Linked DNA regions of Alligator mississippiensis. Each later gene encodes a partner of the first gene's protein in a complex. Links are inferred from orthologs where the notes say so. Each region holds a gene or a part of one and is shown on either strand. Other genes may lie near its edges. The genes, in order: MUS81 and EME2.

Evidence for each region.
Region 2: the proteins of MUS81 (region 1) and EME2 are in contact, whole or in part, in a crystal structure (PDB 7F6L), measured with the Homo sapiens proteins. The link is inferred for Alligator mississippiensis from reciprocal best matches to the Homo sapiens genes MUS81 and EME2. Residues at the interface, in NP_079404.3 of Homo sapiens: His330, Glu351, Phe354, Lys357, Arg358, Arg363, Val365, Glu381, Leu385, Gln386, Thr389, Asn390, Gln392, Val393, Ile394, Phe398, Lys400, Arg401, Tyr411, Leu414, Leu415, Arg417, Gly418, Leu419, Arg421, Leu422, Pro447, Ile464, Lys467, Ala468; in NP_001244299.1 of Homo sapiens: Glu140, Arg177, His179, Glu220, Glu221, Val224, Leu225, Gln227, Leu228, Trp229, Asn231, Leu232, Asp233, Leu235, Arg245, His246, Ala249, Val250, Lys252, Ala253, Leu254, Gln256, Tyr257, Lys260, Gln261, Glu264, Gln266, Phe268, Phe270, Cys271.

What each region holds. Positions count from the first base shown.
Region 1 is NC_081838.1:5,437,583-5,444,915, forward strand, and holds the start of MUS81 (crossover junction endonuclease MUS81), read left to right. Parts: upstream 1-4,297; 5' UTR 4,298-4,585; coding exon 4,586-4,714; intron 4,715-4,802; coding exon 4,803-4,914; intron 4,915-5,007; coding exon 5,008-5,120; intron 5,121-5,283; coding exon 5,284-5,370; intron 5,371-5,553; coding exon 5,554-5,634; intron 5,635-6,444; coding exon 6,445-6,527; intron 6,528-7,062; coding exon 7,063-7,179; intron 7,180-7,333. Other genes in the region: cofilin-1, read left to right, coding at 21-203, 1,530-1,831, 2,844-2,920, 3,234-3,346. UniProt on the Homo sapiens protein: Catalytic subunit of two functionally distinct, structure-specific, heterodimeric DNA endonucleases MUS81-EME1 and MUS81-EME2 that are involved in the maintenance of genome stability.
Region 2 is NC_081836.1:29,552,120-29,559,949, forward strand, and holds the start of EME2 (probable crossover junction endonuclease EME2), read left to right. Parts: upstream 1-4,789; 5' UTR 4,790-4,867; coding exon 4,868-5,204; intron 5,205-7,830. Other genes in the region: NME3 (nucleoside diphosphate kinase 3), read right to left, coding at 96-141; MRPS34 (small ribosomal subunit protein mS34), read right to left, coding at 2,636-2,916, 3,736-3,778, 4,300-4,617. UniProt on the Homo sapiens protein: Non-catalytic subunit of the structure-specific, heterodimeric DNA endonuclease MUS81-EME2 which is involved in the maintenance of genome stability. In the complex, EME2 is required for DNA cleavage, participating in DNA recognition and bending.

The DNA.
Region 1 (7,333 bases):
GCCCAGCTCCAAGCCGACGCATGCGTATTGCAAACCGGACGTTTCTGGGGTCCGTGTGTATGCGCATTGCGGGCAGGGAGGTGGAGGACTCGCTTTCCCAGCGTGCCCCACCGGAAGTGCCACTCTCCCATATAAAGCGGAAGCGGCGGCGGAGTGAGGCACTCGACGGTGATAGCGGTAACAGTAGCTGCGTTCTCATCATGGTGAGAGCCCGCGCGGCGCCTTGGGGGCCGCTTCCGGTCCCTTCCTCCCTCGGGGGCGTCTGTCGGGGGGCATTTCCGGTGCCTTTTCCTGGTGGCGCCTTCAGCAGGGGGTCACTTCTGGTCCCCCTTCCCTGTGGGTCTGGCAGGGCCATACAGGGGCCCCCATAGGGTAGTGGGGTACCCCAACCTCCTGCCCCCCACCCCATGCAGGGTATAGCTTGTCGGGGGCTTCAGCCCCTTCTCCCCTCTAGCTGTGGGGACCAGCTCCCCTTTGGGGGGTGGGGGCAGGCTCCCTTCCACGCCGCCCAGTGATGGGGCTGGGGGCTGCTGGATACCTCTGTGGGAGTGCTGGGCCCTGCTGCCATGTTAGTGCCCCCCATGCTGATCCCCCCCCCTCCCCCATGTGGGGGCTGTGCCCAGGTGTACCCCACATCTTGGGGCACCCTGTGGGGGTGGGGCCAGACTCCTGGGAGGGGGCAGGGGGGTGTCCTCAGCTACAGCAGCACCTGCTTTCCTTTCCCCCCCCCCCACCCATGTGGGGTCAGATCATGAAGCTTGGGTGTTCACTGGCTTGTGAATAGGGCCATGGGGGGGCATCAGCTGCCTTTTGGGGAGGGAGGAGCAGAGCTGGGAGGGGTCAGGGGCTAGTCCTGGCGGCAGGTACTGGGAGGAGGAAGGTTGGGCAGGGTGCAGGTGGAAGAGAGCAGTGCTGGGGCAGGGGGGTCTGTGCTAGGGGCAGGGCCATGTGCCCGGGTTTCCGGTGCAGGCTTCCACTTCCTCCTTGCTCAAAATGTGGCGTCGGCATTGCCCCATGTGCCCTTGGGGTGGGGGGACGTGTTCCCCACATCCTGCCCCCCCCCCCACCTAAGCTACTGGAGCAGGTCCCTGCCCCCTCCCCATATTGCTCTGCTCTACTGGGGGGGCGTGGCCAAATGCAGGCAGAGCCATAGGGGCAGAGGGCACCCCCCAAGGGTCCGGCCTGGTACTGAGGGCTGGAAGGGACCTTCCTCTTACCCTCTGCCCCCTAGGGGAGATTTCCAGTGCACCCCCTGAACTGGGGTTGGCTGGGGGAGCATGCACCCCTTGTCCCACCCCCAGGAATTAGGCCTGTTCTATCAGATGTGGGGGGAGGGGTCCCTGTGCCCCCACCCCAGGTGTCAGACATGACAGTGTGGTACCCAGGGGGTGGATGCCAGTGCTCCAGGCATTGGGTATAGTGATGTCAGATGGTGGGGTGGTTTCCCGTTGCCCCCAGGGTGCCAGGTGTGGCAGTGTGAGCGGGGGGGGCCCTGCACCCTCTGACTCATGTGCATCCCCACCCCCCAGGCATCCGGTGTGGCAGTGTCGGATGGGGTGATCAAGGTGTTCAATGAGATGAAGGTGCGCAAAGCATCACCGGGGCCGGCCGAGCTGAGCCAGCGCAAGAAGGCTGTGCTCTTCTGCCTGAGCGAGGACCAGCGCGCCATCGTGCTGGAGCCTGGCAAAGAGGTGCTTGTGGGCGACGCAGTCCCCGACCCCTATGCTGCCTTCGTGGCCCTGCTGCCTGAGCGTGACTGCCGCTATGCTCTCTACGATGCCACCTACGAGACCCGTGAGACCAAGAAGGAGGACCTGGTCTTCATCTTCTGGTGAGATGATGCTCCTGGGGACTTCCTGTGGGCCCCTATAAGCTTTGTTGTCATCTTCTGGGGGGCCCCACAGCCCCTACAGCAGCCCCCACAGCCAGACCAAGACCTAGTCTTCAATGTCTTCATCCCAACCAAAACACCACAGCGTGGAGGACCTGATGAGAGGGTGTCCCCCACCCCCAGCATCCCTATAGCCCTCTACAGCCTGACATAACCCCCCAGGCCAGCTGGCCACAATGTGGAGGGCTTGGTCTTCATCTTTTGGGGTGACCATGCTGTCCCCTATAAGTCTCCTGCCCCAGCAAGGAGGATGGCCTAGGCTTCATCTTCTGCTGAGCTGGGTCCCCATGCCCCCCCACCTCCTAAAGCCTGGTTTCCACAGCTAGGAGGAGACCTTGGTTATGTTTAGGGGTGAGATTTCCAGGCCCCCCCCCCTTAACCATCACAGCTCCCCTGCCCAGGAGCTGGGAGAGCTTGGCCTTCATCAAGGGAGGTGACACCCCACCTAAACCATGCCCCCTCCCCCACACAGAAGACCTGTTTATTGTCTGCCCCCCACACTGAGGGGGGGGGGGCCCTCAGCCCCCTCATCTCTTGGTAGGGGCCACCTAGAAGTGCCCCATGTAGCCCTGGCCTGTCCAGCCCTGGTACCCCTGAGATTCCTCTGCCAGCTACTTTCGGAGGGGTGCGCTGGGTCTATTCCACCATGTAAGGCCCCTCTTGCCCCTGGTGCACTGTCTCCAAGTGGCCCCCAGTGTAACCTGCAGGCCCCACCCATTCCTTGGGGTCCTACCCCTTCCATCAGGTGAGGGACATAGTCTTGCACAACTAGCCACACCCCCAGTGCCAGGGTAGGGGGGTGGTTTAAAGGGGCTTCCTGGGATGGGATTGGGGGGGGGGAGGGGCTGTAGGTCTCATCCCTGGGGGACCCAGCAGGTATTTGGGGAGGGAACCCAAGTGTCCAGGCTGGTGTGACCCCTCTTTTTTTTCCCCCCCCTCTCCTTTGTGGCAGGGCTCCTGAGTGTGCCCCCTTGAAGAGCAAAATGATCTATGCCAGCTCCAAGGATGCCATCAAGAAGAAGCTGACAGGTGAGTTGGAGGGAGTGGGGGGAGGGGCAGGTAGTCTTGGGGTGGGGGGTAGAGCTGGTTGGAGCAAGGGGACTGGGAGCCTAGACACCTGGGTTCTTTGTGGGGGGTGTGCATGCCTGGGTCCTCTGGGAGAGGAGTGGGGGTTGAGAGGGGTGGGGAGGGAGGGCTGGGGGGTGAGAGCAGGGGCACTGGCAGCCCAGATGCCGGGTTCTTTTCCCCCCAGATCTAACAGGGGAGTGGTGCCAGGGAGCATGAGGAGCCTGGATACCTGGGCTCCCTCACTTCCCCGTTTTCCCCCTCACCTCCTACGCAGGCATCAAGCACGAGCTGCAGGCCAACTCCTTCGAGGAGGTGAAGGACCGGTGCACGCTGGCCGAGAAGTTGGGGGGCAGCTCTGTCGTCAGCTTGGAGGGGAAGCCTGTGTGAGCCCCCATGCCCTGCCCCACCACCAGTCTGGCCCTTCCCGCTGGGGGGAAGGGCTGCTCCTGCTGTGTCCGACTCCCAGTCTCTCTCTGCAGGGGCGGGGCCTTTGCCAAACCCCTCAAGTGCCCCCCCTTCCCCCTATCTGTCCCAGGTGGGGTTTCCTCCCAGCTACTCTAGTGTCAAGGGACCAGCCCTCAGCTCTGTCTACTTCACATTCCTCCCCCCCCCCCAAGCTGGTGAACCCAGCAGTCCTGCCTATCCTAGCCCCCTTCCAGCCCCTTTTCCCACCCTAACTTACTCCCCTCCCCCTGCAGCCTAGGGTGGAGTAGTTCCAGCCAGGGGATAGGGGTACTTCTGCCCCCAAGCCCCCATTACAGCCTGGGACTGAATTGGGTCCAGGCTACTCTGTCCTAGGCTCTGGGGGGAGGGGTCCTGCCTCCCTGTCCCAGCCTGACAGAGCTGTGCCCCCCCCCCCCCCCTCCCCACAACAGGGACCCCTTCCCCTAGTGCAGGGGAGTGTTTTCCCCCCCCCCCCCCCCCCTGCACTCCAGGGACCAGCTCCTCCCTCCCCTGCTCAGCTAGAGCCCCCAGGAGTCCGGGCTGGTCCTAGGCGCCCCGCCCCCCCCCATTGTCTAGCACCCCCGCCCCCTCCAAAGTTGCTGTTTCTGGTGTGTGTGAATCCCCTTTTTTAATGGTTTTTTGGAAGGATTTTATCCCTGCCCCCCACTGCCAAGCGTCGGTGGTGTCGTGGCTTCCTGCCTGTCCCCTGCTGGGGGAGGGGGAACGTGGCCCCCTTGGCTCCCCCTGTGCCCTAATAAACCCCTGTACTGCTACCGGCCCGTGTGCTTCTTGGAGGGGATGGGGGGGGTGGTATGCACCTGGAGGGGTATAAACACGGGGCTGGGTGCATGGAGGGGGGAGGAGACCCCGGGTGTCCAGGGGGGAGGGCAGCATGGGGTCTGAGTGGCCCTGGCCCGGGACCCCCACCCCGAAGATCCCAGGTGCCCGGGGGGGACAGAGGCAGGGCCCAGCCATGCAGCCGCGCCCCTGGAGCTGGCGCGCCCCCCGCCCTCATGAATGTGAATGAGGGTCCATGAACATGAATGAGCCGGGTTGCGGGGGGAGGAGAGACGGGGCTGGCGACACTCTCCCCGCCCGCCTCGTCTCTATGGTCCGAGCCCGGAAGAGCGCGGCGGCCGCTTCCGGTTCAGGGCGGGCGGGCGCCCCCCACCGGGGCGGGCGATGGCGGCGCGGCTGGGCAGGAAGCGGCCGGTGCCGGCGCGGCCCAACGCGGCGCTGGAGCGCTGCCTGCGGGCGTGGCGGGACGAGGCGGCGGCGCGGGGCAGCAAGGCGCGCTTCGCTTACGAGCGGGTGAGCGGAGCGGGGCGGGCGGGGGCCCGGGGCGCCGGGGGGGATCCAGGCGTCCGGGCTGACCCCGCCCGCTCCGCCCCGCCCCCAGGCGCTGGTGTCGCTGCGCCGCTACCCCCTGCCCCTGCGCAGCGGCCGGGAGGCCTCGATCCTGCAGCACTTCGGGCCCGGGCTCTGCCGCCGCCTCGACCAGCACCTGCGCGGTACGGGGGGCAGCACGGGCGGGGGGCGGGGGGCGGGCACAGGAGAGGGGGCGGGGCCAGGCGGTTCGCCCCCCTCATCCCCTCCCGCCGCAGGTGAGGACGCCCCCATGGAGGCCGCGGAGGGCCCCGCCCCCCCTCCCGTCCCGGAGCCGCAGGGCCCCGCCCCCCCCACCAGTGCTGGGGACCCCCCGCCGCCCCCCCCGCAGGTGAGTGGTCTCCTTCCAGCGGGGGTGGGGGCGGGGAGCTGCACCTCGGGGGGTGCGGACACGCGGGTCGGCTTCCTTCCCCCTGTGGGGGCGTGTCTGTGGGCGGGGCCTGAGCCCAGAGGGGTGGGGCTGACTCCTGGCTGTGCCCCGCCCCCCTGCCTAGAAGCGGCCACGCGCCCCCCGGGGGTACCTCCCGGGCCCCCGCTCCGGGGGACATGCCTTGCTGCTGGCGCTGTACAAGGAGAGGCAGGTATGCGCGGGGTGCCTGGAGGGGTGGCAGGGGGCCTGCACATTTGGGTTCCCCGGGGTGGGACGGGGCTGGGATCCTGGACCCCTGGGAGGGGAGGGGGATGCAGGGGGGCTGGGAGCCCCGATGCCTGGGTTCTCAGGGAGGGGAGCCTGGACTCCTGGCCCCCCCCATTGTGCCCCACAGACCCCGGGCGGGCGCGGGGCCCTGACGAAGGCGGAGCTGCAGCGGGCGGCCCAGCCGCTGTGCGACCAGCCCTTGGCTCCGGTGAGTGCAGCCCTCGGTCCTCCCTCGAATCCCCCTTCTGTTGCCACCATTAGACTCCAGACTCCACGTCCGCCGTCTACCTGGTGCTTCTCCACTCCCCCCTCTCCCAGCCCCCTGTGGCATCCCAGGCTCTGGCCCAGTCTGTCATCACTAGGCTTAAAACCACCGCCGGCACTTCAGGGGCCCCAGCCGTGCCCTTCCCCTCCGCCCACCGCACCTGCACTGCTCTGAACTGCACAGGCTCTGCGTGGCTCCTACCCGCCTCTCAATGCTAGCTGGCACTGTTAGGTCCCAGAGTTAAGTTAACGCCCTGTACCTGCGACTACCTCAAGGACCCACCCGGGCATCCCAAGCCGCACAGGCTCTGGAGTGCTCCCTTTTCTCCCTTAAAATCAGTCACCTGTTATTAGGCTTCAGAGTTCACACATGATCACTGGGACTTGCACCGAGGGAACCCCCCATAGCCCTGCCCCCACCTGCACCTCTGACTTGCCCCAGCCCAGCCCCGCAGGCTCAGGGGGCCTCCCTCACTTCCTCAAACTATGTTGCTTCATTAGTTTCCAGAGTCAACATGCCCAAATCTCTCATGGCCAGCAAATGGGGGTCGCTGCAGCCCTGCCCTCCCCCCGCCCTGCAATCCTGGCCCCACCCCCACAGGGGCTCCCCCACCAGGCCGGTCTGCCTTCATTAGCTTCCAGAGTCATTACGACATCGCTCACTGCCAGGCCTGAGCAGTCGTGGTCCCTGCGTCTCTGCCCCTAGCCCTGGACCCCACCAGACCTCTGGGGTATCATGGGGTTTGTGTTGCAGACCGGGGGCCGGAGTGGGGCTTGGGCAACTGTGAGCACCCTCATCCGCCGCAACCTCGTCCTCAAGGCTGGTGTGCCACCCAGGTGGGTGCCAGGAGCCCAGGGGATTGTGGGACACTGGGGGATTGGGGACAGGATTTATGGGACACTGGCAGGACATTACGGGACATTAGTGGTATAGGATTAGGCGGGGGGGGGGGACCAGGAAGGGGAGGTATCCCAAGAACAGTGGGATGATGGCTGTCCCAGTGGCCTAGGATGGGGGGGCGTGGTCTGCAGAGGATTATGGGATGCTGGGGGTCACTGGCAAGTTGGGAGAGTCCACAAAGGATTATGGGACACTGCAGGTCAGGGTGGAGTTGGACTGGGTGCCCCAGAGTATTATGGGACTCTGGGGATCCTGATGTGCTTGGTTGGGGGGTGGGGGCGATTTGCAGGGGGTTGTGGGATGCTTGGGCTCACAATAGGGCCAGGAGGGGGAGCTTCCGGGGATTATGTGCCTGTGGGGGTCCCAGTGGGTTGGGGGACTCTGCAGAGGATTATGGGATGCTGGGGGGACTGGGGTGTGAATCTGGGGATCATGGGACTGTGGGACTAGACTGGCCTCATCCCCTCCCAGGTACTCACTGACCCCCCAGGGGCTGGAGCTGGCCCAGAGGCTGGTGGGGGGCCCTGAGACCCAGACCCCCCTGGACTCCGAGGATGAGGAGGAGAACCAACCCCCAGAGCCCGTCTGGTGAGTGCAGCTGTGCCTGGACGCCTGAGGTCCCTCCAGCTCCCCCCCAGAGCATGATGGGGCGAGCCGGGGGCCCGAACTCCTGGGTTCTCCCAGCTGCGGGAAGGGAGTGGGGTTGGGGGTTAGATCATAGGACACTGGGCGCCTCGGGTGC
Region 2 (7,830 bases), on another chromosome or scaffold:
CCGGGACCGGGACCGGGACCGCGATCGCGCTGCGGCTTGGCCGGGGCCGCCTCGCCCCGCGCTCCCGCAGCCGGGCCGCGCCGCGCCGCACTCACCGGGCTGGAAGACGTGGGCGAACAGCGCCAGCACGAGGCAGATCATGGCGGGAGGCGGCCGGGGCGCAGGCAGCGGAGCGCGCGCAAACGTCTCCCTCGTAACAGAGCAGCCGCCGCATTATGGCGGTCCCGCCCCGCCCCGCCCCGGGCTCCGCTGCCAGGGACGCCCCGCGGGATCAAGGCAAGCTGCAGCGGCGGGGCGCGGCACCCAGCAGGGGCGGGCAGGGGGGCCTCGGGCCCCGCCCTCACAAGCCAGCTCCCTCATGGCTCGAGGTAAGTTCCCGGCTCCCGCCAGGGTGAGGCAGAGACGTGGGCCCGAGCTGCGCACAGCTCCCCCGCCAGGGCCCGGACCCTCCCTGGAGGCTTTTTATACCGTCCATCCAGGTCCAGATGTCTGTGTGCTGCCGCCACCTCCGAGGTAAGCAGCTCCTGGCCAGCTCAGCAGGGAAACCGAGTCATGGCCTGGGACTGCTGTTCTTTGGGTCACCTTAGTTATTGTGGGGAGTGACCAGGGCCCTGCACATCTCAGCTCACTTGAACCTACCCCTCACCCTCCCTCGTCCATGCTGAGCACCATGATTGTGGCTGAGGTGCCAGGGAGGGGACAGTGGCACAGCCCAAGGGGTGAGGACTCACTGACACACTTTTGCTTTTCACAGGCCCACGTGACAAAAGTCCTCTCATGACTCTTTGGCAATGACTTCCGCAGGAATAAGAGCAAATACACTTATATTCTGTTAACACAAAGAGGTCTCCCCTCCTCCCCCGCCAAATACCAACACAGCCTGGGATCTGAAAGACCAAGTGGGATCCTTCCTTCTTGCCCATCCCCATCATAGGGTGACCCAGTGGGTTTGACAGAGATGCAACTGAAGCAGTGCCCTCAGCTGGTGAGACTACCTTTTGCAGCTCGCACTTAGTTTAACCGTTTTGATGGTCTGACTAACAAGCCAAAAGAGAACCAAACTTGTTTTCTCATTGTAGCAGAAAGCCCCCTTTTCCTCTTGCCTGCATTTGCTTTCCCCTCTTTGGATATGTTTCTCCTCTTCTACCTCTTTTTCCTTCCTCTTTCTTTCACTATAAGATAAAGAATTGTGTTTTAAAGTTTGTATGTGTGCATTTTATATCTCCCCTTGTATTTTGGTATTTTTATCTATTTGTTTGCCATGGCATTACTCTCATAGCTTATATTTTATACTCTTCACCTTTTAATTAAATGTGTTTTAGTTTTTAGAAGTAAGTTATACACTGTAACAATGTTAACAAGGGCAGGAATCAAACCTGGGCTTCCCTGTATCAGGCAGGGCCCCTGAAAGAACAAGTGAATCAGTGATTGAATGCGTAACTCTGTAGCAGGCTTCAGTAACAAGTGGTAATTAATACCTACACCCCAGATCAAGCAACAGAAGAAATCAATAGGAGACAGTGTAGCAAACAGGAATTATCTAAACTTCACTGTTCAAGGGCTAGAAGCCCCGTCTGAGTTAATCGACACCGGGGACCAACTTTTGGGGCTGAATATCTCCAGATCGACTGCTCCCAGAGCCCTATTTATGACAGCGGTAAATTAATCAAAATTCATCAACGGACTCCCAAACCTGCACGTACATGCGGAAGACCCCTGGGGCTGACAGGTGCCATCCAGTAGTCACTGGGGAGGGGAAGTCCCACGAGGGTCAACAACCCCTGAATTGGGCAAACCTGAAAACTGGGGAGTCACCAAAGTCTGCCAAGGACAGATAAAAAGCAGTGAAAAGTGACCCTCAGGGGCACCCTCTTGATCTCCAACTCGTCCAGCACCCAACCTGTCCAGGCAGAAGGACCAGCTGGCGACCCCCTTCTGGAGGATAACACCACGCTGCAAGAAGCCTTGACTGGCCATCGATAGCAGACTCCAGCGCTTTGTAGGATAGGTATACCCAACTCTGGTGCCCCCCACAACAAACATTTGTAGCGCACTAGTGTGTGTGTGTGAGAGGAGACCAGCCCCAAGGTTATGATTTGACTTCATTACAGTGTTTCAATCTGCCTAATGAACCAGAATTTTAAGGATCCTGAGTTGAACATTTGTAGCCAACATCATGTCTGTGCTGCAGGAAAAATCAGATGGGAAGACTCATACATGCAGGAGCACACTCTGTGGAGCAAGATGGTGACTTCTTATAGGCCCTTGTCTGTGCTTTTACATTGGTTTGGGGATCTAATCAACTTGACAGTGTCCTTTTTTAATTCTCAGAAGTGGGCTCTAAAGGGAATTTTGCCCAGTCATAGGGCCCAGAGGATAGGAGCTGTAAAACAAATGCAGAGAAAAACAGAGAAGATGCTCTACAGAGATTACCAAGAATCCTAAGCATGTCTGCATCTTTCCAAATACATGTAAGAAATGTGTACACTGGCATGTGCCAGGAATAGGAAGAGAAACTGAGGTGATAACACTGGATAAACCTGAAACATGCCTGTGGCTTATGGAATCATTTTCTTCATTAAGGAGATCAGTTGGCGATTAAGAGACCTAGGGGGCACCATACTCAACACTACCTTCACACTGGTGTCCCTTCAGTTCTCTTGACATTTTCAATGGAGTCTGTTCTGGAGATCCCTCTTTCCAGATCAAGCATCGGCTCCTCCGTGTTCGGTTTTCCTTCCTTCTGCCTCTGAGCAAAGATCATGGCTCGGAGCAGAGGTGGATACGGCACATACCGGATGGTTTCCTCTGGCACCGGGGTAAATTTCTTGAAGTCCTCTTCCTCATGTTTGGGCACCAAACGCCAGTCATGGTACATGACCTTATCAATCTCTTTTACTTCATTTTCTGTCTTGCCTGAGGGAAGATAATAATGAATTAGTAATTAACACCGTCAAACTATATAAGCATGTAGAGGAGTCTCCAGCTGGGAATGGCATTGGGTATTTTGCCACTTACACTATATCTACCACTAGCATACTCTCCTCTCATTCCGGGTGGTATAAACAAGAAGCAAGGGGAACTAACTGACAGGGCAACCATGTTGCAGTCCTGACTTTGCAGGTGACTTCCTCGGACATCTAGCTCCTCAACTTCTCCACTCTGCAGAAATGTTGGGGAGTTTAATAATGTTTAAGAGAAACATTGTGAGACCCTCAAATGAACAATGCGACAGTATTGAAGCACAAGCTTAACTGATAAAAGATGCACTCCATACATGATTTAAAAGAGCATGGAGAGAAGAGAATTTCCCCATTGATCACAATGAAATATTACTTCGGTACCCCAGTGATGATACTGCAAATAACACTGCTATCCATCTGAGCAGAAACATCAAATGTGTTTATCTACTGAAATTAGCTATGATAAAATTCAAAGACGGAAAAGAACCAATTGTGAAGTCATCCATTTCCCTGCCAGCAGGACATTGTTCACTATGGTACAATCTCTGTGGCTTTTTCCAGACTATCTTGAAATTACATAAATTATTGCACTTCCTTGTAAAATCATGCCAGAGGGATTTTCTTCCTTTGTCCAATTAGTGGGCTGAGAAGGAGAGAGTGAGGAGTTGTAAGAGCACAACTGTCTTTTCTCCTTTCTGGTTTATTCCCTGGTTTGGGGCAGAAATATGCTCTCTAATCTTGCTTGAGAGACATAGGGCAAGTTCTTCATTACCTCTGAATGTCAGGTATCCCCAGGCTTTTCCGTGATCCAAATTCTGCAAAGAAAACACATGAGAATTCACTGCGATTAGGTAAAGAAGCCTTCCCACTCACAAAGAGGACAAGTTCTCTAAACAGCTTCATCATCTAATGCAGGAGCGCAGCCTGCTTTGGGAGAGGCGAGGCCTGCAACCTGAGCACCTGTTAAGGTGCTATTCTCACACCGGGACCAAATCGCTCTGTGCCTCTCATTTAGAGGCTCATTTTACAGTGGTCTAGACAGTGCAGCAGCGTTTGCAGGATCTGTTTTACAATCCATGTTCCAGGTGCCACAATCACTGCTCTGAAGAGCAGGGCAGGCGGCACCCGGTGGGCCCCGCTGCTGCAGCCAGGCACTGCTCCCAGGGCAAGGGTCCCCGCGGTGCCTTCTCCAGCGCGCAGGACTCCCTGGGAGACAACATGACGCGCAGCCAAACCCGAAAGGCCCCGACTTAGTGCCGCGGGGATTTGGGAGCCAGATCCTGCAGCGGCCGAGGCGATCCCACGGGACCGACGAGTGGCCCGGGAGAGGACTCACCTCGGCCGTGTAATCCACTTGGGTCTTGGTGATGAGCCAGTAGCAGGGCTCTTCGTACTGCCACAGCCAGGACTTGCGCGTGACCACGCGGCCGATGCCGAAGAAGGGCAGGCGGGCGAGCAGCGCGAAGAGGCGGGTCTCGTTGCGCACGTCCTCCCAGGCCAGCACGGGCAGGCGCTTCCCGGTGAACGGCCGCGTCATGGTCTCATAGTCCAGGGAGAAGCGCTGCGAGTCGTGCGGCCGGTTCTTCAGCGCCCGGTATTCGCGGATCTTCTTGGCCATGGCCGCGATCGGCCGGTGCAGCTTCCTGCGGCCCATGGCAGCGGCGGCGGCCCGGCCACGCGCGGAGCAGCTCTGGCGGCGGCAGCACCACTACCGGAGGTCACAGGAAACTAGTGCTTCGCGGACAGCTCGCGGCGCATGCTCGGCGCGGGGCGGGGCGGGGCGGGGCTGCGCGGCAGCCTCGCCGGGCGGAAGTGGGGGCGGGACGTGCACGCGGGGCGGATGAGCAGCTGCGCCGGGTGGAAGTGGGGGATCCGCGCTCGGGTCCCGGCGGCCGTGGGAGGCCATGGCGGGGCACGGGTCGGCCGGGGCAGCCAGACGAGCTGCCGCCGCCTGGGAGATCTCGGACTCGGACAGCGAGGAGCCGCCGGGCGGGGGCGGGTCCCTCCGTGTGCCGACGCCCCCGCGGGACCCCGCGCCCTGCCCGAGCCGTAGCAGGCAGCGGAGGACGAGGAGCCTTGGGGTCGGGGTTGGGGCAGCGGGGCTCGGCAGGGAGCAGCAGAGGGCGGACAGGGCGCGGAAGAAGGCGCAGGACGCGCTGGAGAAGCGGCAGCGCCGGGAGGCGGCCCAGGCCCTGCGGCCCGAGCAGTGTCTGAAGTACGTGGCCGTGTGCGTGCACCCAGGTGGGCCCCGGGGAGCAGCGCCTCGGCACCTCGACCACCTGCCAGCGGCCCTGGGCCCTTCCCCGGGCCCCGCTCCCGGCTCCGTGTCCTGGCGTCTGGCCTCGTGGCCGCCCCTTGGCGAGGCGCGCTCCTGGCTGCCGTGGGCTCGGGCTGAAGAGCAGGTGCTTGCCCTGGTGACGGTCCCAAATTCCTTTACGGTTGGCAAATCCGATCAGCCACAGACGCTAAGGACTTGGGCTCCTCTGAGCTCGAGCCTCTCCCTGCGTCAGTGGGGAAAAGTCGGACTTTTTTCATCATGCATGTGCCTGGAAGGGGTTAATTAACGTGTAGAAAGCACTTGGAAGTGATCAGTTGGCAGATGTTATAGAATCCTAGAAAATGGTTGGAAGGGACCTCCAGAGGTCACCTAGTCCTGCTCAAGACCAGGTTATCCTTACATAAACCATCCTATGCATGTGTCCTATTCCAAACAAAACTGCATAAGCCATCCACTTGCCGGCTGTCGGGGACAATGCCAAAAAACATGAAGGTCACTCTAACTGGCCCCAGGAAAATGTGGGACAAGAGCACTGTCAGTGTCCTGCCACTGCGAGGACAGGGAGTCATTTATTAAAATACGTGAGAGAGAGCACCAAGGAAGGGGACCATGCTCCGTTATAAAAGTGTAAATTGGTTGATTATAGTAATAATCATCAGCTCTTCATGAATGTCAGCTTTGCTGGAAGTAGCTTTCTTAGGTGTGTTAGTGATGACAAATGTGCAAGGATTACATTTCTTCTTAAAATTCACGTATCAAAATTGACAGCACACTTTGCTTCCGTGGTGCTTTGGTTAGCAAAGAGGGATGTGAACTCAGATTACGGTAACTATATTTAGTCTCAGGCCATGAGGCATGGACACTCCATGCTATTTGGTAAATTCAGCATCATAAGGCACGAACTATCAAAAAGCTGGGGCAGAAAACAGGCTCAGAGCTGATTGCCTGTCATGCAGGTCCATTTCTGAGGACAGGTAAGCTGTGTCCAGAAATGTTAACTCCTGAAATATTATGCCTGGCTAGTTATCTGGGGCTGCACATTTTCTGTTCAATCCTATTCTCTTTCTCTGACAGGATGGAGTTCTTCAGATAATCTCAGCTAATTTCCCACAATGTTGTCTTAGATCAAGCTCTGTTCAGTGCACTTAAAGAGCTGTACCGTGGCTTGGACGTAACACTGAGTTATTCTGAAATGTTTCTAACTGTGCTGTCTGTTTGTACTAGCATCTAAAGAGTTCAATAATCTCTTTAGCAGCGCAGCTAACTTAAAATGTGTAGTCATTATCCTCACAGAAATAGATGTAGGAATGAGCTGCAGGTTGCCCACCTTAACATCCATGAAGAATTGTTCTTTGCTTTGCTTGCCAGAGCTTTGTCCATTCCAGTTTCCAAGTTTATCTTGGTGTAATTAAGGGTTTTCACTCACCTCAGCTTTACAGATTGCTCTCTGCTCCCACTCTTCTGCAACATAATGTGGTTTAGCTGATTGTCCTCTTCCTCAGAATGGGTTGTATTTCTTTGGTGCTATATGTTGTATGAGCTTGATCCTGCAACTCTTAATTGAGGGAATAATTCTGCTCAGAAGAGTAGGATGACTTGTGACTAAGGCTTTGCATGCTGTAACATAATGGAGTGGGAAAACAAAGTGTGTGATTGTCTAACTATCAAAATACATATACGCACAGGGGAAATTAAATAAGGTTGCATGCTTAATCTTGGAATTTCCCACTTTTTAAGCATTTAATTAACAACTTAACCTACTTTTTACTGTAGGTTTTAAATAAATATTGTGTTTAAAGTATTTAAAAAACACAAAGTGTTGCAACCTTTAGATTCACAGCACAGTCTTCTGCTGCTTGGCCTTATGCAGTAAGTGATAGCTATAGAAGGCTATCCCCTATGTGGATCAGTCCCTAAAGGTAGAATTAGACACATTTTGTCAGTTTAACAGCTACTGTTTTGAAGGCAGCAAAAGAATGCTGTAGGGTTGGGTATCTGACTAGTCAAATAAATTTGGTCAATTGACCAGTCAAATATTGGTCAAAAATTGTCAAATAATATTTTGTTTACTTACTTTAAAAAGCAGTAATTTCTTACATAATGTTGGAATACATTTATTTCAGAATTAAATCTTTTGCAGAAAAATAAACACAGAAAAAGCACAAATTTTCCCTTGAACATTAAAAAATAATATTTCTATCAAGAAAACTACAAAAAAAATCCACTGCCCATAAAATTAAAAACATGTACTGAAGGTCAGTTCAATTAAGGGCCCCAAGTCTGCAGTGCACCCCCTACACACAGCCCGTGTCCCCCCCCCAGTCCTCTATAGTAGGTATATGTTATCAAACAGTTGACCCATATAATTGAAACAGTTTCAACAGATAATTTTGTAAACAATACTTGAATCTCTTGTTGCTATAGTCACAGAAAGCCTTATAATATTTGACTGAGCTTTGACCAGTCAAAAAATATGCAGTCAATTGGCCGATTTGCCACCCCGAGAATGCTGAGATTCAGGGAGAATGGTCCAGTGCCAGGTTCTGTAGGTGAATGTGCTTTAATGGACGTTCTGTTGTCCATGTCCCC